Struthio camelus: one gene and its partner. The protein of the gene in region 2 interacts with the protein of the main gene of each other region in a biochemical or structural test. Links are inferred from orthologs where the notes say so. Each region holds a gene or a part of one and is shown on either strand. Other genes may lie near its edges.

Evidence for each region.
Region 1: the proteins of FLT1 (region 2) and PGF are reported together in a solved structure, tested with the Homo sapiens proteins (2 studies listed by BioGRID and IntAct, with this or other methods). The link is inferred for Struthio camelus from reciprocal best matches to the Homo sapiens genes FLT1 and PGF.

What each region holds. Positions count from the first base shown.
Region 1 is NC_090946.1:57,827,367-57,841,815, reverse strand, and holds the start of PGF (placenta growth factor), read left to right. Parts: upstream 1-8,885; 5' UTR 8,886-8,948; coding exon 8,949-9,014; intron 9,015-9,229; coding exon 9,230-9,269; intron 9,270-9,897; coding exon 9,898-10,094; intron 10,095-11,576; coding exon 11,577-11,653; intron 11,654-13,169; coding exon 13,170-13,199; intron 13,200-13,287; coding exon 13,288-13,350; intron 13,351-14,015; coding exon 14,016-14,037; 3' UTR 14,038-14,449. UniProt on the Homo sapiens protein: Growth factor active in angiogenesis and endothelial cell growth, stimulating their proliferation and migration. It binds to the receptor FLT1/VEGFR-1. Isoform PlGF-2 binds NRP1/neuropilin-1 and NRP2/neuropilin-2 in a heparin-dependent manner.
Region 2 is NC_090942.1:200,282,301-200,296,751, reverse strand, and holds the start of FLT1 (vascular endothelial growth factor receptor 1), read right to left. Parts: upstream 7,073-14,451; 5' UTR 7,059-7,072; coding exon 6,761-7,058; intron 1-6,760. UniProt on the Homo sapiens protein: Tyrosine-protein kinase that acts as a cell-surface receptor for VEGFA, VEGFB and PGF, and plays an essential role in the development of embryonic vasculature, the regulation of angiogenesis, cell survival, cell migration, macrophage function, chemotaxis, and cancer cell invasion.

The DNA of each region.
Region 1 (14,449 bases), on a different chromosome or scaffold from region 2:
AGCTGGCTAGAGACGGCCAGCCGCCCGGCGTCCCTTGAAGGGCAGAGCCCTGTGCTTAGCCTGCTGCCTTGTATTTCATGAATGGAGAGCCTCTGAATGGGGATTTCGGGAGCTGTCAGCCCTGTGGCCCCACGTACCTGAGCCGAGCCAGAACCTGTGATTCTCCAGAGCTGAAAGGGAAGCACTGGACTCTGGTGGCTTGCAGGGACCGCAATTAAGAGACGTCTGGTTGTCGTTAGTCAGCAGCTGCTGCCAGGACCCAGTGAGTTAGGTGAGAAATTGCCCAGGAAGACTGAAAAGGAGGGAGTGAGGAAGAGGAGGGCGAGGGGCACAGTCCTGGCGAGGGGAGCAGCAGGGGATGTGGGGCATGTGGGGAAGGCAGTTGGAAAGACAAGTCTTCCCATACACTCAGCTAAAATCTCGCTTCTCCTGCTGGCTTGCCTGCTGAGCCGGCTGCAGCAGCACAGGTAATGTGGAGAGCGGGGTCCCTGCGTGCGTCCCTGGGCAGCTGGCAGGAGGCTCCCCTGGCTGTCCGCAGCCACTGGGCGTTACGGGGCTGGAGCTAGACCCTCTGCCTTCCCTCTTCTGCCGTGGCCACAGACTATAGCTCTGTACAGAGAGAGCTGCCTCCTGCCCTGTCCTCCCGGCTTTTCTTGCGAGGTATATCCAGTTCACCTGGGGAGACTTGGCTGTGGGGGCTTCCCAGCTGGTGCACGAGCAAGTGAGGAAGTCGAGAGGACTGCGGATGGGGCTGCGGGCAGGCAGGGAAGCTGAGCAGGGCAAGAGCTGGCCAGCTGAGCAAGGGAGCATCACGCACATTTTCTGGGCCTGCAGAAGAGCTGAAACTTGGCTCACCTCCTCAGGGTAGCATGGTGCTCTGCTGTCAGGGATGGCTGCTGGAGGCACCCCTCTCCCTCTCCAGGTGCAAATTGCCCCCCCCCTCAACCCAATAAGTTGTGCATTTAAGGTAGCTGTCTCCTGGGGGACTGAATTTAATCCCCCAGTCCCTTCAAGTGCTAGTGTGAGGGAGGCGGAGGCAGGATGGAGGCTGGGTGAAAGTCCAGGAGTGCTGGAACATTGTGTGCTGGGAGGCTGTTTGGATTAGAAACTCTCTGCGGATCAAGTGGGCTGGATGAAATGCCAGGGAGGGGAACCAGAGTTTGCTGAACTCTAGTAATTGGACTCGTCTGTAACACCCGGACAAGAAAAGTGAGCTGTTCATGCTCAGCGCAGATGAAGGGAAGGAGCCAGCACGCAAAAGCCAGCAGAGACACGGTCCTGCAAGAATAACAAGGCAGGCTGTCATTACAGAAGTTACTGTCAAGACTGGATAGGCAACAAGAGGAAAAGCAGCCTAGGGTTGTCACTGGGTGCCTAAGCCACTTTCTGAACACAAGTGACTTTGAGCAGCAGTGAAGAACTGCGCGGTGTGCGGCAGTTGTGGGGGGGGACACAAACCACAGTCCGAGGGGAAGGATGCACCACAGGTATCTCTGGTTTAATATGACTGCTTCTTGGAAGGTCCCTGTTCAAAGGCCAGAGTTAAAAACGTAGGGGAGGACTCAAGTAAGGAGCTATTACAGCCGCAGTAACAGATAGGACTGCGCAGCCAGGGAGGCAAAGCTGTAAAGAAGCACGAGTGAATATGCTGAAGGGCTAAGGGAGTCCAAACCAGCGTTTTCTACGTGCTACAGGGAAGAAAATAGGTCACTTAGTAAGTTAAAGGAATGAAAATGATGGGCTGAACCAAGTGCTGAATGCACGTTTAAAATGTGAGCTTCTAGGAAAAGAAGACAAAAACGCAAGCAAACAGCTGACGATCAAGAACAGATATGTGAAAAACTGGAAAACTCAGTTGTGTGGGTCTGGAGGAGCACGCAAACGTTGCCTGAGTCATCAGCAGTTTTAGCATGCTTGAAATTTGTGGCTGACTCTGCAGGTACCAGAGCAAATGTTTTCCTTGACTTCATACATTTTCCTGGTAACAACTGTCCCCTAAGCTGGTCGTTCTTAGTAAAGCATAACTGCTGTAACTCTCCAGATGGAGTAGGGGAAACCGGCTGGGTTTGCTAAGGGTGCCTTAGCCAGGCTAACGCGGCTCTTCGGCAGGCGCCCAGTGGGAGGAACGAGACCGGTTCGGTGTCTCGAGTTAGCACAGCATCTGACACAGCTTGTCAGCTTGCAGGTATGTACACCTCTCTCTGCCTGAAAAATACCTGGTGGCTCATCCTTGCATCAGCACGAGCGCCCACAGGCAAATCGAACTTGCAGCCAGACCTCTGCGATACCAACACAGTCCACGATCCCTGCAGGAAACAAGTAGGCGGTTCTGAATCCGGCCCTGGGATCATCTCTTCTGCCAGCGACTTTGCTGTTCGTCCCCCTCCTTTTTGTAGCCTTAAAATAGAGACCGAGGCTGGGAAGCAGGATGGTTTTTTCTAGGGCTTGTTGTGGAAGCGACCCACACTAAGGGGCCACAGGGGCCGTGCAGCCTGGACTGCCCCTCACCCTTCCTGGCCGCCGGGGAAGGGAGGGGGAGGCATGGGAAGCTGGCATTAAAGCGCCTCTGCTGGATATGAAGCCTCTTCACTTGTTGGCTTGTTAGTCTGCCACGGTTCCCCAGATCTCCTCTCAGGACGTAAGCAGCTGGAGGCAGCGAGTTCAAAGGCCAGGCTGGTCAGGAAGAGGTGAGGGAAGCGTGGGAAATAACTGAATATCATGTAGGAAAACAAACCCGAGCGAGGGACGAGGGAGCATGGTGCTGGGCTGGTCAGATATTGGCCAGGCACCATGGGCCGCCGTTGGCAGCGTTTCATGAATGGCGCGTCAGGCCTTTGCACCCGGAAAAGGTGTTGGCTTTGCTCGGCGCTGCGGCCGCAAGAGGCAAAGGCAGGCGAAAAGCCCGCTGGCACCGGGCGGGCGCTGTGCTGGGGCTGCGTCCCTGCTCGGCTCGGCCGGGGAGGAGGCGATGCCGCGTGGCGGATCGGCATGTGTCCCTCCCTGCAGGGCAGCGGGTTCGGGGAAGCTTCTGAGCAAACCTGGCGTCGCCGCTGCCGCTCCAGGAAGCCAGGCCCCGGGGGTGAAACAAAGCGCGGCCCAGCCGCTTTGTGGTCACCGAGGGGTCCGTGACACTAACAGTCTGGGCTGCTTCCTGGTCACTGGCCAGCTCCGCACAGTTCCTCCGCTCTGGCGCTCCCCACGGCTGCGGCTGGGCGCCGGGCTCGCCGGCGCTCATTGTCTGCCGCGGCGCTCATGCGAGCTCTTCGGCGGCTGCCAGGTCTCCGAGCAAGGCAGGGATGAGCCATCCCTCCACCCCCGTTCTGGGACGGGCTCGCGGACGAAGCCCTGCCGACGCACACGTTCGCCCCTGCCGGGGTGAGCCGGTGCAGAGGCCGTGCGCGCGGCCCCGGCGCGCACCGTCCCGCGCCCCCCGCCTCGGCCAGCCGTGCCGGGCAGCGGGGCTTGGCAGCAGCCCGGGCTGCTGCCCCCTCCGGCGCGCCAGAGGAGGCTGCTGCTCCCCTGCTCCTCGCGTGTTTGCCTTGCAGAGCCAGGCAGAGTCCTGCCATCCCTATTATTTTGCTTTATGTCAATATTATGACAGCTAAAAGCAGGAGAACTGCATCCACATGATAAGCAGCCAGAGGCTCTGGGCTGGGCGTGGATCGTGTTAGAGTTTGGCAGGGGAGAAAAGTGCCTGGCAGCCCCTGCCCGCGGGCTCGCTGGATCAGGAGAAGTGGGAGCCGGGGCAGGCGACGGGCAGGGGCCGAGGAACGAGTGATTTTTACCCATGCATCCCTCCTCTGGCGTAAACACCCGCTGCCCCTTTCCCGGGGGAGATGACACACACGGTAGATGTGGCCTGAGGGAAGGCAGCCACAGACGGCTTCGCTTTCTGATGGAGAAGTAACCTCGATCTCCCAACCCAGCCCTGCTTCCAGGGGCAGAGGGGCTGCTCAGCTCCTGCGGGGGCAGCCCCGTCCCTCCCGCCCCGCCTGGGCCTGCGGCTTTTCGTCTGCGCCGGCGGTGGAGGGCCGCGCGCGCCACAGCCCTCGTCCCGCGGCTGCTCTCGCCTCAGCGAGGCGGCGCCTGGCGCCTGCTGCCGCTCCGCAGCTGCTGGAGAGAAACGCGCAGGGTGTTTCTGGGGTTACGGGGCTCTGCTCCCGCCCGGAGGCAGCCTGCGCTTCGGGAGCTGCCCGGCAGAGCGGGCTTAGCTGCGCCGTGGGCGCTGCGTCTCCGCTTCCCGCTCTGGACCGCCAAAGCGTTGCGCGCGAGGGCTTGTTGCCTCGGCGCGGCGACTGCCGGCCCCGCCGCGGGGAAGGTGCTGATGCAGCGCTTACCTGCAGGTACCCACGTAGGCCAGGCGCTGCGCTTCAGCTCCCTGGGTGCCTCACCCCGCCGCGGGGCTGCGCTCTGCCGCAAGCGGCCGCGTCGCAGCTGAGCCCCGCCGCGCGGGGCTGCCCGGCCGGGCGGGCGCGGGAGCGCTGCGCCGAGCAGCATGCGCTCTCCGTGGCTGCCCCGCCAGGCACGCCGGCTGCCGCCCCGCGGCCCGTGGTCCTTCACCCTCCTGTCCGTCACCAGCATCGCTTTGCTGCCTGCCCTCAGCTTTGCCTCTGTGGGAAGGTGACTGCGTCTCCTGCCCCAGGCTCAGCCTCGGCGCGAAACTCGACGTGCGCCGAAAGCGGAGGCGGGCAGCTGAGCCAGGCTGGGGCCTCAGCGCGCTGCAGAGCTCCTCTCCGGTGCCGTCGCCCCGGCCCCTGCCTACCTGCGGGGAACCAACGGCCGGGCGGGAGCCACGGCCGGGCGCGTCGCCCGGCTTGTGGCGTGCTCCCCCTGCGAGGGACTGCCCGCTCGCGCGCCCCCGTGAAGACGTCCCGCCGCCCTCCAGGGGCCGCGCCGGCCCGGCACTGCCGCCCGGACCTCTGGCCCGCAGGCAGCGCGGCGCGGGGAAGGAGCGGGCTGAGCGCCGGGGCCGGAGCCCGCCGCTCCTCCAGGCTTGGCCGTCAGGTGTCGGCAGTTTTGGCCAGCCCTACCGAGAGGCCGTGGGTCCCCAGGGGAGGCTGAATCCACCCCGAGGAACAAAAATAAACAGCAGAGTTCCTGCCACGTGCAGCTGGGGCTGACTAACGCCAGCCGCTTCCGGCCGCCTCGGACAGCAACAACAGGCGCTGCAAGGCACAATGTTCGGGGTGCGCAGCACAGCCCATTTCCCGCTATTGTCAGCCTCCTCCTCGGCAAACAGCTCCCCCTGCACACCTGGGCTGGGAGGCGACTTTGACGCCACAGGAATCGCCGCGAGGAGCGAGGGGTGCGCAGGCACCGCCACCCCGGCGCTGGCACCGAGCCCCCTTCCCCTCGCCCTTTGCGCCGCGTGGCACGGCCGCAGCCTCCCGCAACGCCCCAGCCTGGTGCCGGCAGCACCCCTGCCCTGGCCACCCCGGGCGGCTCGGCGGGTGCACCTCGGGCTGCGGAAGGACCCGGGGCTTCTCTGAGGTCTAAAATCAGCTTTTCTGCTGCCGTCACCCAGCGCTGGCTCCCCGCAGGCTTCCCCGTGCCGTTGGCTGGCTGGCGATGGCGACCCGGCGGCGAAGACGCTGCCACGCTGCGCAGCCCATGTCCAGCCCCGGCCGCGCGCCCCTCTCGGTGCCCAGCACCGCGGGAGCGCTGAGGAGCCCTTCGGGTCCCAGGTACCCAGCCAGGCTGCTGCAGGCTGTTTCCTCTAGGAGAAATGCTGATGATCCCAGGGGTCATCCATGCAGCCCTGCTCATGTACGAGGGTGGGAGTCAACTCTGTGTTCCCCTGAAGAAAACAGCAGAGATCTCCTGGCAGAAAAATCTGGGTCTGCGTCTCCGGAAAGGCTTGTGCCCGGGAGAAGCCGCCCACCAGGCCATGCCCATCACCGTCTCTTGCTCTCTGGTCCTTTCTCGCTCCCACGTATGGATACGCCTGGCTGCAGTTGCCAGCCTTCTGCCTTTCGCTTTGAGACACGACCTGCAGGAAAGCCCTCCCACTACCATAGGGGACCAAAGGAGAATAACAGCCGTATCACATGGCTAGGGAAAGCAATCAAATCTAATTAAGGACGAACCCTCAGTGCTCTGGGATAAAGCACTAGCCTGAGGAGCCCAGCGTGTTACATTTTTGTGCTGCTCCGACCTTGGAGAGTCCCATCACAGCGCAGGCTCTAGCTAAGCTGCCAGGAGGGAGTGGGAGCTCGGTGGTGCCTTGTCCCCGGGCGAGGAGCACGGCCCCAGCAGCCCGGGGGTGGCTTCGCCGGGCACTAGACCACACGGGTTTTGTCACTTCCCCTGGGAGGAAGTCTCCAACCCTCCCCGAACTTCGTCTGGTGTCATAAATAGCAGCAGCACAAAAATAGTGACCTGAGGTTTTCAGGGCTGTTCTCTAAGGGGTTAGCGGTGACACAGGAGGTCCTGGATACCGTCAGCTTAAGAGGGAAGCAGGTTTTTGTTGATCTGTTTTCATCAGAGATGCTGAAGGTGAGGTTTTGGAGGGCAGAAGATGCCTGTGAGGGGATCTTGATCCTAAAATGGGTCTGTCTTACGGAAAAGAGGACTTAGCGAGAGCTGCAGCGCGCAGCCTGCAGTGAGCGGGGAGGTTTGCCAGGGCAGAGCAGCTGCCTGTGCTGGGACCCTTCAGGGCTCGCAGGCAGCCCGGGCTTTGCCTTCGGGCCCCATCCAGAAGACCCCAGCAGGGCTGTGCTGCTGCGGGGCTGCAGCCAGGTCACGGGCCCGCTGCCCCAGCTGGACTCACGCAAGGATCGCCCACAGAAAGGAAGCCGCATCATTTCCCGCTCGCCTCCCTCCCCGGCGCGGCTAGCGGAGCAGGGAGGCGGAGAGGCACGCGGGGGCATACCCGAGCCGACACTCTCGGCCCACGGCTGCTGCAGCAGGTTTGCCGTGGCGGAGGTGTTCTGCCCTTTAAGGAAATGTCGCTATTTGCCTTATGCTCCTCGCTGTTCCCCTGAGCCTCGTCCATCTCCTGTTCCCAAAACGCGCAGCTCCACTCCCCGGAGCCTTGTGGGAGGCGGTCTGAGAGACGCGCCGGAGCATTTATAGTATCGCATTGGACATCCAGCCTCGTCCTGCAGCTGGGGAAGGGTAGGCCTGGCCCCCGCGGAAAGAGCATGACAGATTGAAGAGCGAGTGGCCACGGCCCCAGCCAGCTGGATATTTCTCCCGTTAGCAGGAGGATGTTGCTGGTCACAGGTTACCAGTATCCAAATATTATTTCTCTGCTCACGTCTGTGCTCCACGCGGCCCAGAAAGGGGATGCTCATCCCAGGAATGTAAACTCTGCCCAAGGCCTCTGAGGAAATAGCTTCAGCCCAGCAACAGGATTGCACTCGGCAATTAAGGGCTGGTCTCCCGGCCACACAGCTCCTGGGGGGAGCCCTTTGCTCCATCGCCAGAGGCTGGCCTTGTGTCTGAGAGGTGGCCCCAGGGGACCTTCCTGCAGGGACAGGCGTGAGGCCCTCTGTGGTCACGGTCTTTGCAATAACAGGATCCTGTCTTTCGAGCAAGTTGGCAGCGTTTGCCGCTCGGGGCAGCCCTGTGACGGGGCTCTCAGGTGGAAGGAAATGCTCCCCCCGCTCCCCCAGCCCCCAAGCTGTCGGCAGGGAGCTGGGGGCTCCCCCGGCCCCGGGGCCGGGCGGTAGTGGAGGGGGAGCGTGGGCATTGCAGGGAGGGCTTTACCTGCTCCTTGCTGCCCAGCCGAGGTGGCGGCTTCAACAGCCACCAAGCCCCACCAGGGCAGCGGCACGGCGCAGCGCTGGGCCGGCCCCTCCTGGGCTCCTGTGGCCGCAGCAGCGCCCTGCTCGAGCGCCGGGCGAGGGACCAGCGGCCCTGCGACCAGCTCGGCAGCACTGGCACCTGGGGGCCGAACACCCGCTCGTGCTCGGGCCTCTGCCGCCTGTGGGGCGGGGGACAGGCAGCTGACATGTCCCCGCGCCGCAGGGGCAGACCCAGGCAGGGAAGCCCTGGAGCAGCCGCCCCACTCTCCCGGGACGATGGCAGTGTGAATCCTGGCAGGGACGCAGAGCCCTTTATTACCCTGGGATCCACGTCCCCAAGTGGATCATGTTGCCTGCCGGCATCCATTCCCTCCCTGCCCGCGGTGACTGCAGCTTTCCTGGCCGTCCAGACTTAAAAATAGAACAGAAAAGGCCACAGAGCAGCTCCGCATTTACCCCCAGCAGTGGGGTTTGGCCTGGCCACCCCCAGATCCGCTCTGGGGAAATGCTCTGCAGCCAGACGGTTGCCCCCGCCCCGGCAGCAGCCTGGCCCGGCTGTGCCCACCGCCGTGTCCCCAGTCCCCTGGGCGGCAGGGACCCCCCGAGGCAGCCGGGACCCGCGGCACCACGCCAGGGCTGCAGGGCTAGAGGCCCCCGGGGTGCGCGGCGGGGGCACCGCCAGCTCCCGCTCCCCAGCCCCGCGGACGCACCGGGCTCGGGCCAGAGTCACCAAGGGCCGAGGCGCAGCCCGAAGGGCGGCAGCCGCCGCCGCCCGGTCCCAGCCTGCCGGTGCCGGTGCCGCTGGCGCTGGCGACGGGGCGCTCCGCCGTCCGAGCTCCGCCGGGGCCGGGCACCTGCTGCCGGCCGGGGCCGGGGCCGGGGCCGGGGCCGGGGCCGGGGCCGGGGCGGGCCGGGGCGGGCGGTGGGAGGACCGGGGTCCGGGGCGGGGCGGCGGCGGTGAAATAGGACGGCGGAGCGGGCGCGCTCCCATGGCCCGGCGACGGGGCGGCGGGGGCAGCGGCGGCGGCGGCAGCAGCAGCAGCAGCAGCAGCAGCAGCAGCAGCAGCAGCAGGAGCGGCGGCGGCGGGGCGCGGCGGGGCCGGCCGCTGCCCGGCGGGGCGGCATGGCGTGCGCGGCGGCGGCGGGGGCCCGACGGCGGCGGCGGCGGCGCTGAGGCAGTACCGGGGCGCGGCGGCAGCGATGCGGCTGCTCGGTGCCTTCCTGCAGCTGCTGGTGGCCGGGGCGCTGGGGGCGCCGCCCGCCCCGGTGAGAGCCAGCGGGGCGCCGCCGCCCCCCCCCCCCCCCGGGAGGGAAGGAGGGAGGGGGCGTCCCGGTGCGCGGCGGCTGCGGCGCCCTCCGGAAAGCCCTTCCCGGTGCTGCGGGCGGGGTCGGGCCGGGCGCCCCGGGGCTGCGGAGCGGGCTCCGCCGTGGCCCCGTCCCGCCCGCCGCCCGGCTCAGCGCCCGCGTTTCCCTCCCTGCAGGGCCCGGAGGCGCGGGGGACCGCCGGCTCGGAGGCGCCCGGTGAGTTGGCAGCGGGGCGGCGGGACGGAGCCGGGAGGGCGCTCGCCCCGTCGGCGTCCCGCAGCGCCGGCCCGGCCCCCGGCGCCGCCGCCCCGCGGGTTAGCGGCGCGGGCGAGGCGGCGCCCGGCTCTGCCCGGGGCTTGCAGCGCTGGCCGTGACAGCGGGCTGCTGAATCGGGGCCCAAACACTCGGCTTCACCTCTCCTCTGCTCTCCCCTGCTGGGAAGCCCGAGGGGAAGGGAGAAGGGGGCGGCAGCAGCGGTCCGGGGCCGTGGGGGCGGCTTTCTCGTGTGCTGTGGGACAGGGCTGCTGCTGCTGTCAGGCCCAGGGACCAGGCAGAAGAGGGGACCCCAGCTGCAGGGGGGGGGCTGGAGACTGAGGAGAGATGGAGCTGGCAGGCAGGGGGAGAAAGAGCCCATCGAGGTGGATGTGGCAACTGTGCTGGCCCGTGCACCAGTGCAGTGAGGAGCCTGCTGAGGGTGCAAAGGGGTCCTCTGCGTCTCACCCTGCCGCGGCTGCTGTGCCTGCCACCTCAAGGTCCTGTTCTGGCACCTGGTACTGAGCGTCAGAGGGTGGGCCGGTGCCGGGCGCTCTGGACGCCTTCTTATAGCCCCGTGGGTCTCTTCCAGTTGTGACCTTTCGGGAGATCTGGAATCGTAGTTTCTGCCGTCCTCTGGAGCAGCTGGTGGACGTCATTACCGAGTTCCCCGACGAGGTGGAGTACATCTTCAGACCCTCCTGCGTCTCCCTGCAGCGCTGCGGAGGCTGCTGCGGAGACGAGGGGCTCCGCTGCGTCCCCGTGGAGACGAGCACGGTCACCATGCAGGTGAGCGCTGGCTCGGTGAGGGCCTGCAGCGACAGCCGGGGAAGCGGGCTCCTTGCCAGGTGCCAGGAGGTTGAACCTTGCAGCTTCACATCCTCAGGACGTGGTAGCAGTGTGGATAACAGGGGATGGGGGGGAGGGTCTGGCTTACTCAGAACTGCTGAAACTCATGCCAAACTGGAAGGGTCCCCCCGCCAGCTTTTAAGGCTTATCCTTGAGGGTAGATGAAGCCCTTGGCAGTACCAGCCTTGCTCCCTGCTTCCCTGCCCTGCTTCTGCATGGTCTGTCTTGCTGAATGCTGTTGCCTTGCTGGACCTTCCCTGGGCCCCACTGCCGCACTAGGGGCGTCCCCATGGCCAGAGACCCTGCCTGCTGGGGCAAAGCACCGGCTCCCCCTGAGGCGCAGGGAATGGTTTCCCTGCATCCTGGCTCCGGGTGCCAAGGAGATGCCTGCACTGACAGCAGGCACGCGCTGGATGCCCTTTTCCCGGGGGCAGGGTGAACACGAGGGGCTGTGCATGCCGGGTTTCCAGTCCTGTTGTGGAGCTGTGGGAAATCCTGGGCTTTAAACAAACTGAGCTGGCTGCCTCTTCCCCACGCGCAGAGCTGCTGTCCTGCTCTCTCTGCAGCTCTCTCACTGTGCTGTCAGAGACTGACCTGCCGTCACCACAGGGAGCAGACGAATAGCTCTGCTTTGCCATGGGTGATGGACTAGAGCGCTGGCAGCAAATCACCAGTGGCTTTGGCCCCTCAAGGGTCAAAAGCAAGTTGGAAGGCAGGGCTGGCATTCCCAAACAATCTTGAGTTAGGTGGAACAGAAGTCTGAAATAAATAGGAGGAGGCGGCACTTCCCCAAGCTCCAGGGCGGTCAGGATCCAGCAGACGCGTGTGGGGTGGCAGTGCTGGGCTAGGAGCGCTCCTGCGGGGCGTTAGTGGGGATCACGCCACAGAGGAACGTTCCCAGACGTCTGACCCAAACTCCAGGCTAGGTGGTGCAGACTGACACGTGGTAGGGCAAATCCTGTTCCCCTGGGTTGGGGAGCCCTCGGGAGGCTGTGGGAAGGGGGCAGGAGGAGGCAGCAGCAGTGGGAACGGTCTAGAAAACATGACCTAGAAGAGAGATTTAGTTCAGCGAAGGAAAAGATGCCAAGTGGTCAAATATGTGAAAGGTCTCCACAGAGGCAGGAGATCTGCCCTAAGGTTGGGAAGTCCCAAGAAGAGGGGACTTACTTAAATTTCAGCCCTGAAGACACAGCGAGGCACCCGGAGAGCCTCCTGAGCTGCTGGGCCTGGCTGAGCTGCATGCAGAGGTGGAGGCTCGGCTGCCGGAGGTCCTGAGCAGCAGGTTAGATATGAGAAGCTGGGGGCCCAGAGGCTGGGGTGAAGCGAGCATGCCCCGGGGTGGAGGAGGCGAGACAGTGCCTTGAGTCCTTCCAGCCACGTCTGCTCCTGCACACCAGGCAATAACCTTTGTTCCTCTTTCAGCTCCTGAAGATAAAGCCAAGCGGAGAGGCGCCGTATGTGGAGATGGCCTTCACTGAGCACAAGCGCTGCGAGTGCAGGTGGGGACCCTTGGGCACCGCTGTGCCCCTGCAGCCAGAGCAGCCTCGCCAGCTTGTGGCGCTGCTGCGCGTGTGTCCCGGGCAAATGGCCTGCTGCAGGCAGCCTTTGTGAGCTGCCTGGCGAGAGCTGGGCAAGGCTGGTGGCCCCAAATGCGAGGGCTGGTTTGGGGCAGCTCGCCCCAGGCGCTGGCTCGGGGAAGAGCCCTGGCCCCGGCGCACCCGAGGATGACTGTGGCTTAGAGAGAAAGCTGAAGTGCTGAGCCTTGAATCCCCATCTTGAGGGGGCCATCCCATCTGGGGATGGGGACTTTGGGTTGACTCACAGGGAGGGGTCTGGGCTGACAAACGAAAGCTTAAAAATCCCCAGGCTTGACCTGGTGCAGACACATGGCACCGACCTGACCAGGCACGGATGCACAGCACTGACTCGGCCCGGACACATGGCACTGCCCGGGCACGATGTGGACCTCTTGCAGTGCTGACGCTGCTGTGCAAGCTCGGACGGTCTGGGCTCCGTGCATGCAGCTGGAGCAGCACTGGCCCTTGGTGCAGAGCCTCTCCAGCACCACCTCGTGGGTCTGTTCTCCCATGCGGCGAATCTTGGCATCTGCTCTCCATCACAGCCTGAAGACAATTTGTTATTGCAAAAACTGGGGAATGAGTGTCCTGCCGGGCAGCTGCTGGATGTGATCCTTGCCTGGAAGAGCCTGAGGATCCCTGTGCCGGTATTCCCCCTGTAGCCATAAGCATGGCTGTGCTGGAGCAGACCCATGGCTCGAGTAGCTCAGTGCTGTCTCCAGAGCAATCAATCGGTGGATGTGTAGGGAGGAGTGGGAACCAGCACATGCGTTACTTCCCCCTGCCTCCAGCTACTTTCCCTGCAGGGAATTTCCTGAGCCTGATGTGGTTTTCCTACTTAGGGTAACTCCCAGCGGATCTCTGAAGTACTTGTGCAGTCTGCCTTTGAACCTATGTAAACTTTTTGTATCTGCAACACTCTTGGCTTCTCTCTAAGCAGCTTTCCTCATCCTTATGTTGTTCCTCTTTGAATTTTAGCAGAAGTGGAGTGGAAGCTTCGGCATGGGCTCCTACTGGGAATAGTGAGTCCAAGTATGTCATGGCTGCTGAGAACTGAGATTTTTGAAGCAAATCCTGTATGTTACTTGGGACTCTTCATAGAGCAGATGGCATATGGAAATGCAAACAGTCCCTGAGAGCAGTTAAAAACTGAATCTATGCTTCATGTCCTGATGGGCAAAATGTCATGGCCCACAGGGGAGTTGTAGCAGTCGGTCATCTCCTGCCCCTTTGCTGTCTCTTTTCTTTCTGCATGTTGCAGTCTGCTACTGGGTGAGGAGTTGATAATGTGGGGAGAAGTCGTGCTGGGTCTGTCCTAAGCTTGAGTCGTAACTCATCTAGGTTGTGCTACGCATTGAAGTGTTTCAATAAACCACCTCCAGAAGCTCCATAGATAGCACTGTCCAAGTAACCTTTCCCCTCTGTCCTTTCTCCCCAGGCCGCGGCAGGACCTGATGAAATTCGGGAGGTAAGTGGCGCTGGGAGAGACGCTGCAGGTGGGGGTACTGCTTCTCGCTTCCCACACGTCAGTCTCTTGCGCTCCTTTTCTTTTGAAGGAGGAGATCAAAGGGCCGAGGTAAGAGAAGACAAAACAAGAGGAGACGTAAAGACTGTGAACTGTAAGTGAGCAGGGGGAGATACGGGCTGTGTCTTTTAGGTTAATTTGTTCAGAATAAACAGTTAAGTTTTTAGGTCTAACTGATGCTGTGAATAGCGGTGCAAAACATGGGGCTGGGGAACAGATCTGGATGATTCGATGATGTGTAGATAAATTGCCATCACAGACCACACTTTTTATATATCCATTAATTTCCAGTTTCAGCCTCATCTTGCTGCCAGCCATGTCCTTACTGCAGTCCTTGGCTAGCCGTTGTTTGGGTTACTCTGTCCTTTCCGGCCTTATATTTAGCTGACCCCTCCGAACCGCTTGATGCAGCAGTCTGTACCGGACTCTTGTTGCTGTGGACACTTCTGGGGTATAGAGCCTGAAGTCAGCATTTTCCTGCCGTGTTTTGTTTTGTTTTCCTGCTGTGTGACACTTGCTGCTCAAGGCTCAGCCAGCACCTACATCCCAGCATGCTGGGCCTGACACAGCCATGTCCCCCTCTGTCCTCCATGAGCCCCAGCCCCCCAAGAGGCTGCTCATGGACCCTGCCCATGGCTTGGTGACAGAAGTAGGGTGCAGGGGAGGGCCAAGCCTGGGCACTTGCAGTTGGGGTGAGCGTGGACCTGTCTGGCACATGCAGACCTGTGGTGCTTACCCTGTGCCACGCTCTCTTCGCAGATGTGGCACGCCGCGCAGGTAGCCTCCACTGTGCCTGTGGTCCCGCTCCTCCTGCCGTCGGGGTTTGAGCCAGTTGCGTTTCTGCCTAGCACATTGGACCTACGGAGCTGTGCCCCTCCGCAGCCTGGAGGCTGGGGAGCGACGGCTGCTAAAGGGAGCACCTGGCAGGAAAGGGCTGACTGGACTCTTGCTGGCGCCTGGCAGGAGCACGGCCCTGGAGCGAAGGACTCTCCCTTGCCCTCCACCTGTGTGCCGTCTGCAGCAGGGACAGAAGGATGCCTAACTAGGCCTGGGGGTGAGGATGAGGAGCCCGAGGTGCATGCTGGTGCTCCAGGGGATCTTGCAGGGCAGGGAGCTCGTAGATGTGCTGCTGGAGTGGGCTGGGGACAGCATGATATTACACAGGGAGCTGGCTCCAAGGGTGGTGGCAGCAG
Region 2 (14,451 bases):
AGTCTACAACACGAAACCAGCTAAGGTAAGGACAGCACTGACTGAGGCCTGTCTCAGCAAATTGGATTGTATTTGGCTTTTCAACATGCAAAAAATACAGCCTGATTAATGGTCCAAGAGACTAATCCCATTTTACTTTTAAATGACATCTGAAATACAAAGTCTGTAGTAGGTGTATATGCAGAAAGCTTCTGGCAAGTATGACTATGCTCAATTTACATTGGTAAACTATAATCGTTGGTTCTTATCTGATAAATCTGACAAATAGATGAGTATTAATGTACACTATAGCCCTGCATGAAACAGAGGAAGGTAGATTTTCACCCCAAACTTTTACCAGTGCAACAAATAAAGAGAATTCTATATAATATATAATACCGTGGGATTACATTTCATTACTTCATATCCATTTAACATAAACATCAAGAAAGCCTAAATTTTAGTAGGCATTAATTTTAGTTTCCTTGCCCCTCAATCCCATAATTTCTTAATAGCTAATAGTAGGTGTTAGATCCTATCTTCTCTCTGGAGAATTGTATCAGATAACTGCTTTCTGTAGGGTTTCTTGAACTTCCTCTGAAGATCAAATGTTGGACACTACTGGGGACAAGACACTGAGCTAAACAGAGCCCTTGTCTGATCCAGGATGGCAGCTCCCATGTTTCTATTACCATTAGCCCACAGTGATCCTGATGAGAGGTCTTCTACAGAGAAATAACAATGGGAACAAAAGGAATGAATTCCTTCATTCCATGAAAGAAAAGAATCCCACAGGAAGGACGCTTAAGTGAACTATGTGAAATTGTGAAATTCCTCTCATGAAGCGCCCTTACACTCATCCTTCCCCGCGCCCCCACACACTAAGCAGGGGGTCCTGTTCCCAGAACACAGGCTTCCCAAGGGAACATTGAAGAGCAGAGACATCTGCTCATCAGTCCTGGGCTTCTGCAAGGGCCACAGTGCCCTGTCCTCTCCACCCCCGCTTCCGGGGATGTCGTAGAAATCATGTTGCCACATTAGCGCAGCATCTTCAGCCAACTAAAATCCTAGAAACAGCTTCCTTCTAACCACTTCCCCATCCTTCCCTGCTTTAACAGGCAGAAACAACTTGTTTCAAATGGAATTAATGGTTGCATACATGTCAATGTGCCACAGGAGCTCCAAAAGAGGGAGAATGGCTTAAAAGGCATCATATTTAGGAATACTTAGTGCCATGTATCAATGAATATTTAAAGAGCAGCCCCACATCTGGAAAGATACTGGAATCATGCAAATGCAAATCAGTGTCAATGTCATCATGTTGGATTGTGTCTCTGTCTAAATAGGTACTTGCCAGGGTGACTTAACATTGTTAATATGGACAGATTGATTTTGGTAACAAAAACCAGATAGCATTTGATGGAAAAATTGCAGAGACAGCAAAATTGGATCGGCATGAATGTGGATCTGTTGCTTCTCTATTAACACAAAACTCAAAATAAATCTGCAAAAGAAGAAGAACAAATGAGATAACTATTTCACAAGAATCTATAATGGTTTTGAATAGTATAGATGTGTCATTAGCAAAATGATCCTATTCTTCATCATTAGGCTGACATATTTCCACCCACCATGCCATTAAAAAAAACAAAAAAATAAAAAAACCACAACCCTCCTGGATACATGATTCAATACAGAAGAACAGAAAGAACCAGTCACCCACACTCCCAGTTCAAGTTTCTCCATACATCCCAATGGCTCAAGACTTAAGTTGCAGATTAAAGCACCTCTGAAACATGTAGTTTCAAACCTTTTTTATCCCTCTCGTTTTTCTCAACTAGTTATAGCTTTGCTTCACTGCAGCCTGAACTCATTCTGCTGGTCAAAATGGGCACAATGTTGTGCCACGCTTGGCTTTGGGCGCTAATGCCAACATTTTCACTGTTCAAACTGTTTCTTGCAGGATATCTAACTTTTCCTTTTAATCACACAGTGTTATACAGTGCTAACAGGCAAATGAATCTGAATTTCTGTATTCTAGTAAGAGAAAACTGTGCGGGCATCTTCATGACAATCACTAAACCAATTTTAGGATGAACAGTTCCCACATGGTATATTAAGAAATCAGGCCATTCCTAGCTGGGAATGCTGGGGAAAATTGTTTCTTAGCTGAAGGAATATGTGTAGTAAAGGTACATCACAAGGTCAAACAGAAAGGAGTCTGATGCTGTCCATGAGTGCAATTCTTGTGCTCAAATGTGGGGACATTCTTACAAATACTGATATGAAGATAAAAAACAGACTGTTGTAGGAGGTGAGATATAAAGAAAAAGGAAGTCTGTGAAGGGAGTAGCTTGCTGCATGGAGGCCTCATACTAGTAAGAGGCACTTGCCTCCAGCAGCAGAGATGACTGTGGTTGCTGGCCATCCTAGGCTTCATGGCAGAGCTGCCCTGCACTCCTGCCAAGTTTCTCTTTCCATTCCCTCTGGAACTGCAATAGGAAGTCTCAGCCCCTAACTTGAGTAGATTCAAAGGAAGAATTTTGCTGATAAAGCCCCACCATAGCCCCACTGGACACAGATTTCTGAAATGCCGAACCTTAACCTTCATCTGCTGAGTCTCTTCCTTTCCCAATCTCAGTCGGACACAAAAAGTAGCAACTTGATAAACACTGCGCTTGAAGTTTCCAAACCACATTAAAGTATGAGGACTCAGCAACTGTCCTGAAAATCTGGGCAATTTCCTTCTGTCCTGTACACCCACACAGTGTGAAGGGCTACCGGTTTAAGTCTTTGAAGCATTTGAAAAAAAAGAGGCTCAGTTTGTTTGTTATTATTTTGTTATTGTTCGCATGTTAAAAACAAAACTAAATCTCCCTAATGAGAAAGTTTTAAGGATTTAAGTGCATTGGGCACTTTTGGATATGAAGATCTTTACCACACTAGAGGCTTAGTCCTGATTTCCTCCTATGTGAACTATAAATCTAGAATATGCTAGCTTAGCCCGAAGGAATCACTCCACTTTACAGCCACATGTATGCGAATGAATCCAGCTTTGTGAGAGCATATGAGCAAGACATCTGTCTGGTTAAACACTGCTAAGTGATATTCTTTAGTAATATCAGAAAGTTTGGTACTTAAACGCAATGTATACTTGCTTTACGAATCTGCGTTACACATTAGGCTCTAAGTCCTCAGCCTTCTGTGAACACAGTTTTAAATTTTTAAGGGACTCCATTTCCCATAAAAGTCCAGAAGACATGGGAAACCCAGTTTTTCAGGGCTCCATGAAGACTTCCATCCCTAATCTCAAGTTAGACCACTGTAACTATGTGCCTGTAAAGCTATTTCAGCTGAGTACACAAATCAAGTAGAAACCTTACATATGAATGAAGTTCAGTCTGAATAGCACTTTTAGGGAAGTCAGGTTAGTTATTGTAAGAAATTAATATCAGTGCTATTTAGATTTGACTTAGAACTTCTTCCTTCATTTTTTCTCAGCTGACCAGGATTTTGAAAAATCCATCATTCACTCAGGATTTTAATGTATCTGGTTCCCACCAGGATATCTCAGATTCATATAGGACTGTCCATGGGTAAGACTGTGTTAGATTAGATTTATCTCCTCACCGATAATTGTCAGGTATCATTCATGTGCTGACAGCTGAAAATAAACCTGATTTATCTGTCTCATGTTTCTGGAAATGTGGCCACATTGTCCTTGCTCCAGACGGCAGAATCTGGTCTTTTTAGGGTTTAATCCCAGTCCGTCTCATTCCCAAACACCACTGATTAACTGATTGTCATACAGTCTAGGACTGGGTAATCAAACCTGAATGCGGCCCCAAAGTCTTCATTTTGACCTTTATGTATACAGGCTTTAGCATAAATGTATTCGATATAATTTGTGGACTAAATATATACAAACTATAAAGCAAATGTATCCAAACACTATGCAGAACAGATACAAAAATATTGTTCCTTCCCACATCACAGCGGAGAACACAAAATATGCATATGCATAGAAATATCAGAGGACTAAAGTTCCCAGCACTCACAAGTCAAAGAAATATGATTTCCTTAATCTCATTTTGAAATGGGAAGTCTCGTGGCTTGCAGTTTGCATACTGCTTTGGGGAGATTTAAATTTAGACATATACAAGCTAAAAGACTTCCTTCTGTCCCTTCCCTATGAAACTGTCTGCAGTAACTCCTGAACTACTGACTTTTTCTGTGAATGTACTCCAGTACCTGTTGGTCAATGGGAGCTGAGCAGATGCCCTTCGAGATTAAACCACAGCAGGGGACCGCACGGCAGTGATGAATCGAGTTTCATCAAGAACACTTGAAAGGGGAAGCGCTGACCAGCCTGAGTAACAGTTTTAGACAAACAAGCAGTGTAGGAGGATGACATGGAAAGAGAAGTATTGTGAGTATCTATGCATGGTATAAAACATCCCGCCACTTCACCCGTAATTTTAAAATGCCAGGTGCAAATGCAAGTACGGAGAGTTTTACTGCTGACTCAGAAGAGGCACGATCAACCTATCTGGAATGCCTAGACAAAGCTGTGCAAGGGACAATTTCCTTTTCAGCAAAACAAATTGTAACAAGATGAACAATTTCAAGAAAGTCCTAATCTTGATTTGGACCTTAACTTATCATACTTGGGGGGAAGGGAGGGAATTGCCAGCAAAGAGGTTGCAAAGGTACTCAGTCAAACTACAACAAAGCACTCTTCCAGCACCTATTGCGCCTGAGCCAGTCCCAGGATGTACCTCATGGTAGTCCAGTGCCCAGAGCACCAGCTTTTCCACTAAGCAAGCTTAGCTTTTCCCACTGGAGCTGTTCTAAGGTGTATATATCCCTGGGTAGCACGGGGAACAGGAAAGTGATCCAGTCTCTCACAGCCCTTGGATCACAGAGTTCATCTTCTCTTTGGGCAGTGGTTTGTCATGATTTGCACAACGGGAAACCTTTCCAACAGGAAAGAGGAAGCCAGTGCCCCAGAGTAGCTGGTCACTTCAGGAGCACATGTGGGAGCCGGACACTGGAGTTCAAGCCCATGCTCTGAAGGAAGCCTAGTAAGGATCTGAACTAACATTTCCTGTACCGAGGGCAGGCGTCCCGTGCCTGTGCCTACTTCATCCTGGGTATGAGAACCTCCTTGGCAGGGATAAATAATACGGGAAAAATAGCACTTTCCCGGGGGGGAAAATGTATGTACACACAGACACACATACACACAAACAAATATATATACACACATACATATATATATATAAATTGATGAATCAGCCTTTCCCGAGTAGGAAAACGTCTCCTCAGAGCAGCCCCTGCTCGCGGTCACCCCGGGCAGCCCCGGGACGCGGCTGCTGTCGGCCGGCAGCACCGGCAGCCGCCGAGGAGCGCCGCGCCGCGCCTCGCAGGGGCCGCTCCCGCGGGCATCACTCCGCTCCGCGCCGCTCCGCGCAGGGGCCGCTCCCGCGGGCATCACTCCGCTCCGCGCCGCTCCGCGCAGGGGCCCCTCCCGCGGGCATCACTCCGCTCCGCGCCACGCAGGGGCCGCTCCCGCGGGCACTCGCGGAGGAGCAGCCCGAGCCCTCGGCCACTTGTGAGGGGGAGCGCCGCAGGTCGGGTGGCCGCAGCCCTGACCACAGAGACGCCGCGCTGCGCGGTCACTGGCCTCGGTGACGGCCGCGGAGAGCTCAGTTTTCCCACTCTCCCGGCGGGATTTGCCCTCGCCCCAAGCTCGGTCAGGCCAGACCATGCTGCGCGCCTGCCCGCGGAGGCTGCCGGGGCCGCAGACCTGCCCCTCGGGGAGCTCCGCAGACCGGCAGCGAGGAGCTCCCGCGGGACCGGCACCGTGCCCGGCCCCACGCAGCCCTGCTCCCCGGCGAGCAGCAATGCCATGCGGGCACACGCTCCAGCTCACGGCGCACCGGCCTAGCAGGGCAAGCTCCTCTCCCAAAGTAAAATGTAACTCCATTAGGAGGAACAAATCTGTGCGCTCCTCTATCCCGGCACCGCGCAGCCTTGCGCGAGGCCAGCGCCGGCGAGCAGCGCCCTCCCGCTCTCCGCGCGCGTCCGCGCTAGGCAGCTCCAGCGCGGCCACCCTTAACGCGCAGGCAGCGCCGGCCGGTGCTCCGCGGACGTGCGGTCCTGCCCGGGGGCGGCCACGAGGATGTGTGTTTTGCGAAGGAAATGGGTAACCTTCCTTTCCTACTTAACGGGTAGAACCGGGAGAGGCTGACACTTCGAAACAAAGAGGGGAAGAAAAAAAGCCTGCCCTGGAGCCTAGACCTGTTTTCTTTCCGTGATGCTGTCGCACCGGTTGGGACAACGCCTGGGGCTGGTCGGGCCCCCCGCGGCCGCTCGGCTCCCCGCCGGCACCGCTGGCTGCCCGGGAGAGGCGCGGAGGCTCCGCACCCGCCGGCGCCCCGGCGCGCCTCTCTCCAGCCGCCTCCCGCTGTTGCCCCAGGGCAGGCGGCCGGGAGCCGGAGGGTGAAGCCCCCTCGGGATCCGGCCTTTCCCGACTCTCTGAGGAGCCGCGATGGCCGTCGCCTCCCCCCCGCCGGGGGCTCTGGGGAGCCGCCGGGTGCCGAGGGGAGGCAGGTGGGAAGCGGCGGCCGGGGAGGGTGCGGGACCCCGCCGAGGAGGGAGCCGGTGGGGCCGCGTCGCGGAGATCCCCGCGGGGGTGTGTGGGGGGAGCAGGATGGGCAAGGGGCAGCGGGGCTCGGGTCCGGGGGGCGGCAGCCCCGCGACGGGGCAGGGGCCTTACCTGCGAGCAGCAGGGCGGCCCCCAGCAGCACGGTCCCAGAGAGCAGCTGGCAGGGCATGGTCCTGCCCGCGGGGAGCGCAGGGCTCTTCCCCTGCCGACGGCAGCGAGGCAGAGGCGCCGGCTGGGCTCCGACGGGCTCTCCTCCGTCCGGGGCTCCTCCCGCGGCGGCGGAGATAACGGTGCAGCGCGGCGCGGGACCAGCATCCAGCAGCCCCCGAGCCCTCCCCGCCCGCCCCTGCCCGCGGAAAAGGGAGTGTCCGCAGCCGGCCGCCCTGCCTGCTTCACCTCCCGCCGACATCAATTACCAGCCAGCCGCCGCCCCGCTGATTTATAACTTCTCCACCCCTCACCGCGCACCCCCACCCCCGGCCCACATCCTCCGCCCTCCCCGGGACGCGTCACGGGACCCCCCGCCCGCCCCACGGCAGGCACGGGGCGCTCCCGCAGCCCTCCCGGCCCCGCGCCGCCCCCGACGCAGCGCCCGGCTCCAGCCGGCCGTGCCCTCCCGCCGCCGCCGCCGCCCGGCCCCGCCCGGCCCGGCGCTGGGGACTTCCCAGCGGCTGCCCCGCACCGGGATGGGGTCCCGGAGGGGCTCACCGCCCCCGTCGGCGCCGCGGTGTAGGACGGGGCCGACCGGCTCCGCCCGGCAAGGCGCGCAACACACTCGTGCCTCCAGACCAGACGGGTTCCCCGCAGAAGTGCTAGGGGCGTCCCGTGCCGCAGCGCCGGCCTCCTGCACCGCAAAGAGCCAGCGGTGCTTCCCGTGGTGAGGAGCGTGGAGTTAGGGCCAGGTGAGACCGGCACTCCCACCTTTTCCCGTGCTGTCGGACAGGGCGCTCGGGGAGCCTGGCAGCACCCCGTGCACCCGCAGCACCCCGGGAACAGCCCTGCCAGGTGCCCGGGGCTGCTCTCCCCACCTTCCCCCCAGAGGGTCAGCACGGGGTCCCCAGCAAGCAGCATGGAGCACTCTGGGCAGCAAAGAGGCAGCACGGGCTAAAGATGTTCCAGGAGTGTGCCCAGTGCTGTTGGCGGCCTTCATCGACCCTATGACTTCCAGGACTAAGCTGGAAATGTATTTCTCCTCCTCATGCATTTACCTTACGCTTTCCATGATTGTTTTATTTTGTGAGAGACCAGAGGGAGCCCATGACAACAAAACCTACACTATGTGTTTCCACTTTCTCCCTTTTGTAGCCAGAGATGGGCTATTGGGCGAAGGAGGTCTTTGGTCTGACCCAGTATGGCCCTTCCTATGTTTTTATGTTATGAAATAAGTCTCAAGAGTCTCTGCATGAGGCAGGTAAATGTGATTATCCCCATTTCACAGAGGAGGAAATGGAGGCGCATAAAGAGGTTAGGCAGCCAGTCCAAGGTCATAGGAAGCGGGTGACAGAAGCTAGAAATAGAACTCAGATCTCCTGTGTCCCACCAGACCATCCTGTGCAAGAAAAAAGATGAGAAGTTGGTGTTGTTTTTAACTTGAGGACTGTTTAACTTTCAAGTTTAAAGTTGGTGAGAATATTTCCTGCAGGCTTCTGTCAGATTCCTATTCATAAGTGACACCCTAAGCTAAGAATTTAAGCTTATATTTTCCAATCATCCTGCCTCCAACTGAGACCTTGAAAATAAAATAGTTATGGGTACCTTCCCCCTCATCTGCTTACACCATGGGGGGAAGAGCCCCAAAATTTCTTTCCTGAAGAGGATGACTCATAAGAAATCACCTCCTCCAGTGGAGAGGACAGCAACTGGGAAAACAGTCAGCCAGTGAGGATAGATTAACCAGAATTAGGACCATGGGCATCCTGACAGCTCAGACCCCCTAAGAGCAAGGGCTCCCTGTGGAAGGAGCTAAGGGAACTCTCTGTCCCTGCCCTTGACCTTCTCAGTGCTGAGTACATGCTGAGTCTGTGATGATGCAGGCCCCATCATGAGCTCTGCAGCTATGCCACACCAGCTCCCACCCTGTTCACACCTCCTACACCGCAGCTGCATTTGGTCATGGCCCTCCAAAGACCACAACACTTTGGCAAGACTTACCACCTTCCTTCTCTAACGGATGTCATCAGCTCCTGATCCACCCAAGGGACTGAGGAACAGGAAGGGCAGACCTGAAGATCTGTTCATAACCCTTCAATCCAGTTCATATACTAAAGCCAGTGGAGCCTGCAAGAAGATTAAAAAGACCCCCTTAGGGAGATACAGACAAGAATGAGGCAGCAGATATTCTCAGAAGGCAGAATGAAAACACCATAGGAAGCATATGCCTGGAGGTAGATGAAAGGCACATCTACCTACATCTATGTTTCTAAACATAGAGGCTGAAGCATCTGGACAGATGGACAGTGTATGGTGAAGGAGAAGGCAGCATGGAACTTATTTGAAAGATCTTATTTGTATCTACTATGACATAACTTGCAATAGCTACTCGGATGGGAGCTAATTTTGAAGAGTGCCTTAGGTGCTGTGGCCATACAAATGCTGATGGGCCAACCATAGACCCATTCCAGGCAAATGTACATCTTGCAGGCAATATGATCTCTTGACACCAGAATCTTAGGCTCAGGTTTGGCACTAAGTAATAGGTAGCATATGTGCAGACAAGTCTTATCCTTGGGCATTATGTTTCCTTTGGCTGTGAAAAGTGGGAAATCTCCTTTCTCTAACATTTGCTAAAAAAATTATTACCAAATGCTAGAAAGAAAACCTGCCAAATTTAACAGCTGAGAGTAAGCCCTCTTTGAAACATAGCAGACAAACATCTTTCCTGCAAGGCTGATTGTCTGCTCAATCTCCAGCGCTATAGAAGCTGCAAAAGATGGAGAAGAAATAGCCCTCACAGTAGACATCAGTTTTAAGGGTTCACTTGCAGCCCAGCAGTACGTTGTATTGTTCATGAATGTTACCCTGCTTTAGAGTAAGATGATTCTGCCAAGCCTTTTGGTTGAACAACCCATACATCTAGCCCTAAGATAAATAAGTTATCAGATAGCAAAAGCACTAATTCTTCAATATGCATCCTTTCCCCCTCCCTGGCCTTCAAGACTCATTGGAACACCACAGAAAGCGAGCAATAGGACATTTGACTGAAAAGGCAAGTAATTAGGGCATTCATCTGAGGAAGGGGTCAAGCCCATTTCCTGGGTCTGCCTTGTGCAATAGACGCACATGTTATAAAGAAACAGACACCACCCAAGAGCAAGGTGGGGTGGAGAGACGTCTCAACCCGGATATGACTTAGTCAAGTCACTAGGACACATCCTGAGGTTGTGGATCCTATTCCCTGCTAGAAGCAGGACACCTGGCACATCCTGAGTTAAGGTTTTAGCCAAGTCTCCTGGGAGGAATAGCTTGGACAGTTCCCGTGGACGTGGCAAAAAATAAAGAGCCTGGAAAATCCCACTCATACCAGCAGCTGATACCCTCCCAGCCTGACCTGACTCTTTCCAGTCATGGTAGCAATTTTTTTATTTGCACTGATGCTCAAAATTAGCTCCATGAGATACCAGTTCCAGTGTTCAGAGCATTACACAAAACGTTATTACCAGCATCTGCACCAGCAGTAGCCTGTCCTCAGGAAAAGACTACGTGGATTGGAGTGAGAACTGAAGGACCTAATGATTTCTGTTGATCCCCTGTGCTCATGGCACAGAGGTACACACCTCACAACAGCAGGCTAGATTGCCTGCTAGACATTCCCAGGTTTCCCACTGTTGGGAGAGAGGGAAAGATATCAAAGCAAAGTAGATTGGATCTCCCTCTGCAGGTCTTCTGCAGAATCTGCATCTACCAATTGACTTCTTAACAGAGGACTGGGTGCTCCCAGGAGCTAAAATTTAAGCAAAGGCATATCTCAGTTAATCATCCAAAAAAATTACATTTTTTTCAGTGGCAGAGCTGGCAGGCAAGGATCCAGTGCTCCTTGTCCACCCTTCCTCCCCACACTACAGTTCACTGCTGCTCTTTTGCACTGGCACAACTGTTTTCAGAGCTCTGTGTAAAACAGTTTGGTGAAACAACCCGGGATTTCACTGGCCCAGTTTTTATGGAGGGCCATTTTCAACCTGAATAATTTCATTAGTATGGTTTACAACACAGCCACACAAAGGGAGACACAGTGAACTGTGATAGCTGGAAGAGTGTTGGAGCGTCTCACACTCATCCAGCTCCTGGGGAAATTGAAGCCTGCAGCAATATCCTAGGCGAGATGGACTGGGTGTGCCCAAGACCTTCCTGTAACTCTCTTCCCCTGTCCCTTGTCAATGAAGTGTTCTCAGTCACCATTATTTTAATTTCCTTTGGTTCCGTCTCCCTAAGTCAGGGACAGAATTTGAGAAGCATGTTATCAAGTCAATTTGATTTACCGTCATCTTCCCAATTTTAGCTGCTTTTGTTATTTGGATTAATCATGGATGAACAGCAGGGACGTACTACATTCAAAGTTTCATTTAAATGAAAGTAAAGTTCCTTATCTTTCTCCGGCACTGTAAGAAGAGAAAGCTGAAAGACCTCTTCTCTGTACTACAGTGTTTAATGGGACAACCACTTGTACTTGCTCAGATGCATATATGAGGCATATGCATAGAAGCACAGGCAAAGACATCAACTATGGTTGTGACTGTGCTTTCCCTCAGCAAGACTGAGCTTTACTTTACACTCTACAGCCTCTCTGCTCTGTGCCGGGTCAGTGTGTGGAGTAAGATAACTAAAAGCTGCAACAAAGATTCAGTCCTTTTAGGACAATCTCACAGCACTGCTGCCCATCATTCACAGAAGGATATGACTATTCAGAGCACTGTCAAAACTAAGTCGACCTTAGGGGTAGGTAAAGAAGGCAGCTATCTAACCACAGCAAGAAGGTAGAGGCCACGGGAGCACATAATTTACTGATGCTCATTATTTCTTATTACAGTTAATCAACTGGCATGAGCAATTAATCAGGTTTTCCTAGTAGTTTACTAGGAGGTGAGGAAGCTAATGAGTTAAGAGCTCCAGTAATCCTCCAGCCTAGCTTGGTGCAGGTCGCAGAACACCCTGTCAGGGCTCGGAGCGTACACCGCTTCCAGGAGTTTCGTTGGCTGAGCTAAGGAGTTTGGCTGGCTTAGTCCGAGGTCAGCTCCTCTGCTGACAATAACTGTTGTGAAGAAAGCTAGGAGCAAGGTCCTGAACCTTCTTTCCCTTGGAAGCTGCTTTCAAGCTCAGGCTGTACCACCGGCTCCCACCTGTGCTACATCGCAGTTGTGGAGCAGTTACGTCTGCACCCAGGGTCCTGCCTCTGCACATCTGACCCTGACCTGGACCCTCCAGCTAGGCTTCCTTGGATCTGCCTCCTCACAGCAGGCTTGCCCGATGAGCAGCAAACTCTCAGTCTCTGGACCCGATCCTCACCCAGATTGCTGCTTCACATCCCAGCTCCTTGTAGGTGGGGTGACTGCTCCCGTCGGCCTTTCTAATCGCACATGGTGCCTGGCTCACCCTCTCTTAGCAAGCAGCTGGCCCACAGTGCTCCCTGACAGATCCAACACAATTTTGGCTCTGCCGATTTACCCGCCTACCCCCCTTCCCGTCAGGTCCACATGGCAGAACGCCCATGATTTTGTCCCTCTTTAGTCCCTCTCCCTCTTAAGTCTGGTGCAATACACATTTTCTTTCAAAATATTATACAATTGATTTTACAAGTCTATTCAGCAAAATTTCACACAACAGGAAAAAAAACTGAAACAGTATTTTTTGTCCCTGAAAAACACAAGTACAATGGAAGACTGTTAGTAAGCATTTCTACTATATGCACGTGTACATGGGCTAGACCTCACTCACACACATACACACCTGCATCAATATGGGAATGGCCTACTTTCTGAATAGCTGGGTTAGTGTGGTGGTGATATAGCTAGTTCAGCTGTATCTCCCAGGCTTCTGAAATCCAATCCCCAATGATTTCTTCTTCCTTTTGTCTGGGAGGATATATATGCCATTTCTGGAGCTGTCACTACATGAACGTATAGGATAAGTGCACAGAAAGAGGCAAGACCACATGAAAGAATCAATTGCATCTCTTCTCTGTGAATTCAGGCCAAGGTCACTGCGTTTCAGTGGGAAAGACAACCAGAAGGTCAGCAAAAGAACCACAAAACCAAACCAAAACATGTCAAAAAGGGAAAACTACCCAAGAAAATATTGGGCCATGAAAAGAAAACTAGCCTTACAATGAAAAGCTCTTTTCCTCTTACCATCCCAAACACTAACCCCTAGAGGCTTAGTGTTTCCCTCATCATAATGCAATCCAGGACTCCAAGCTGAGAGCCCATGGAGCTGCTGCTTGCAGAGAGGCTGGTGACTCAGTGCTGTGCATGAATGCCTATGCTCTGATTATTTTGGAACAAATCAGATAGAAAATGTGAACAAAAGCAAACAGTTTTCTGACCACAGAAATGATGTTCACAGGAGCATCTTGGGAGCCACACTGAGAAATGTGGGATACGTGCAACACTGTCAAGGTCCTGTAGCACTGGCATAGTGCATATGGTTACACCACATATACCCCAGATGGTAGGGTTGGTGTACTCCCTGCACTGTGTAATGGTTCACTTACACTAACGCAAGCAGAGCAGTATCAGGAGGGAGGAGCAAGCTTGGAGCTCTGGCCCCTGTGAGATCCAGTGAGGCTAAGCCAGTAGCACTGCGAGCCATTCCCCAGACAAGTGGGAAGACAGAAGGCCAGCTGCAATGTTTGCCCAGAACCACATCAGATCTAATGCCAGGTCCATCTGCAAGAAGCAAGGATGTTATTTTACAGGGGAAGGCTAAAGAGAGCTTTACTGTCCTGAGGGAAGTTAAAGAACTTCCTTTCTAAAGCACTAGGACTGTCTTTCCTTTTATTTTGTAGCCATGATTGGGGTTTTTCGGACAGCAGTTGTAAGATAGCTATCGTTTCCACAAAACATTTCCCTGAAAATCTAGAAGTAAAATCGACTGACGGGAAAAATTAGAAGATTGTTTAACTTCCAGTTCTATGAGATACTCGTGGTGACGCATGAGGTATTACCTTAGTGATGCAATAGTGTTATTTCCATGCTGTGAAATTAATATCTTTGGTTTCTTCAATGCAGGAAAACCATAACTGGCAGGTCAGCATAATTTGGGGGGAGAGGGGGGGAGAAGGACTGCTTGCTGACTCCGCAAGCCTCAGAGCTGCCCATCTGGTTCTTTTAAAGCCTGTCTGGGAATGCTCTCTTTTCACCAGGTCCGGCAGACAGGATCCAGCACAGGTCTAGGAGAATAAATGATCTGTGCAACATAACTTAATCTCACAAGTACTGGGAGCTGCTGACACTGTTTATGTGCATCCTTACCTCACAAAACTACCAACACATCTAAGCTGAGGTTTAGGCACTTGTCAGCAAAAGAAAAAAGACAAAAAGAGCAGATCAGAAGATTTTGGTTGCAGGTCTTCTCTTGAGATCCTCAGATTTCCAGTGACTTCTTTATCAGTTCCAGTAAGGGAAAGACAGAGGAGAGAGATGAAAGCTGGGATCAATTGCAGGCACCAAATTCAAACTCTTATTTTCCTGAACACTGCAAGGTAATGAAGACTGTATTAAAGAACAACCGCATTGTGGAATGTGTATTATACTTTATACACACCCATGCCCAGTTCTGCTGAAGTAAAATCTGCCCCACAGTAAGGCCTG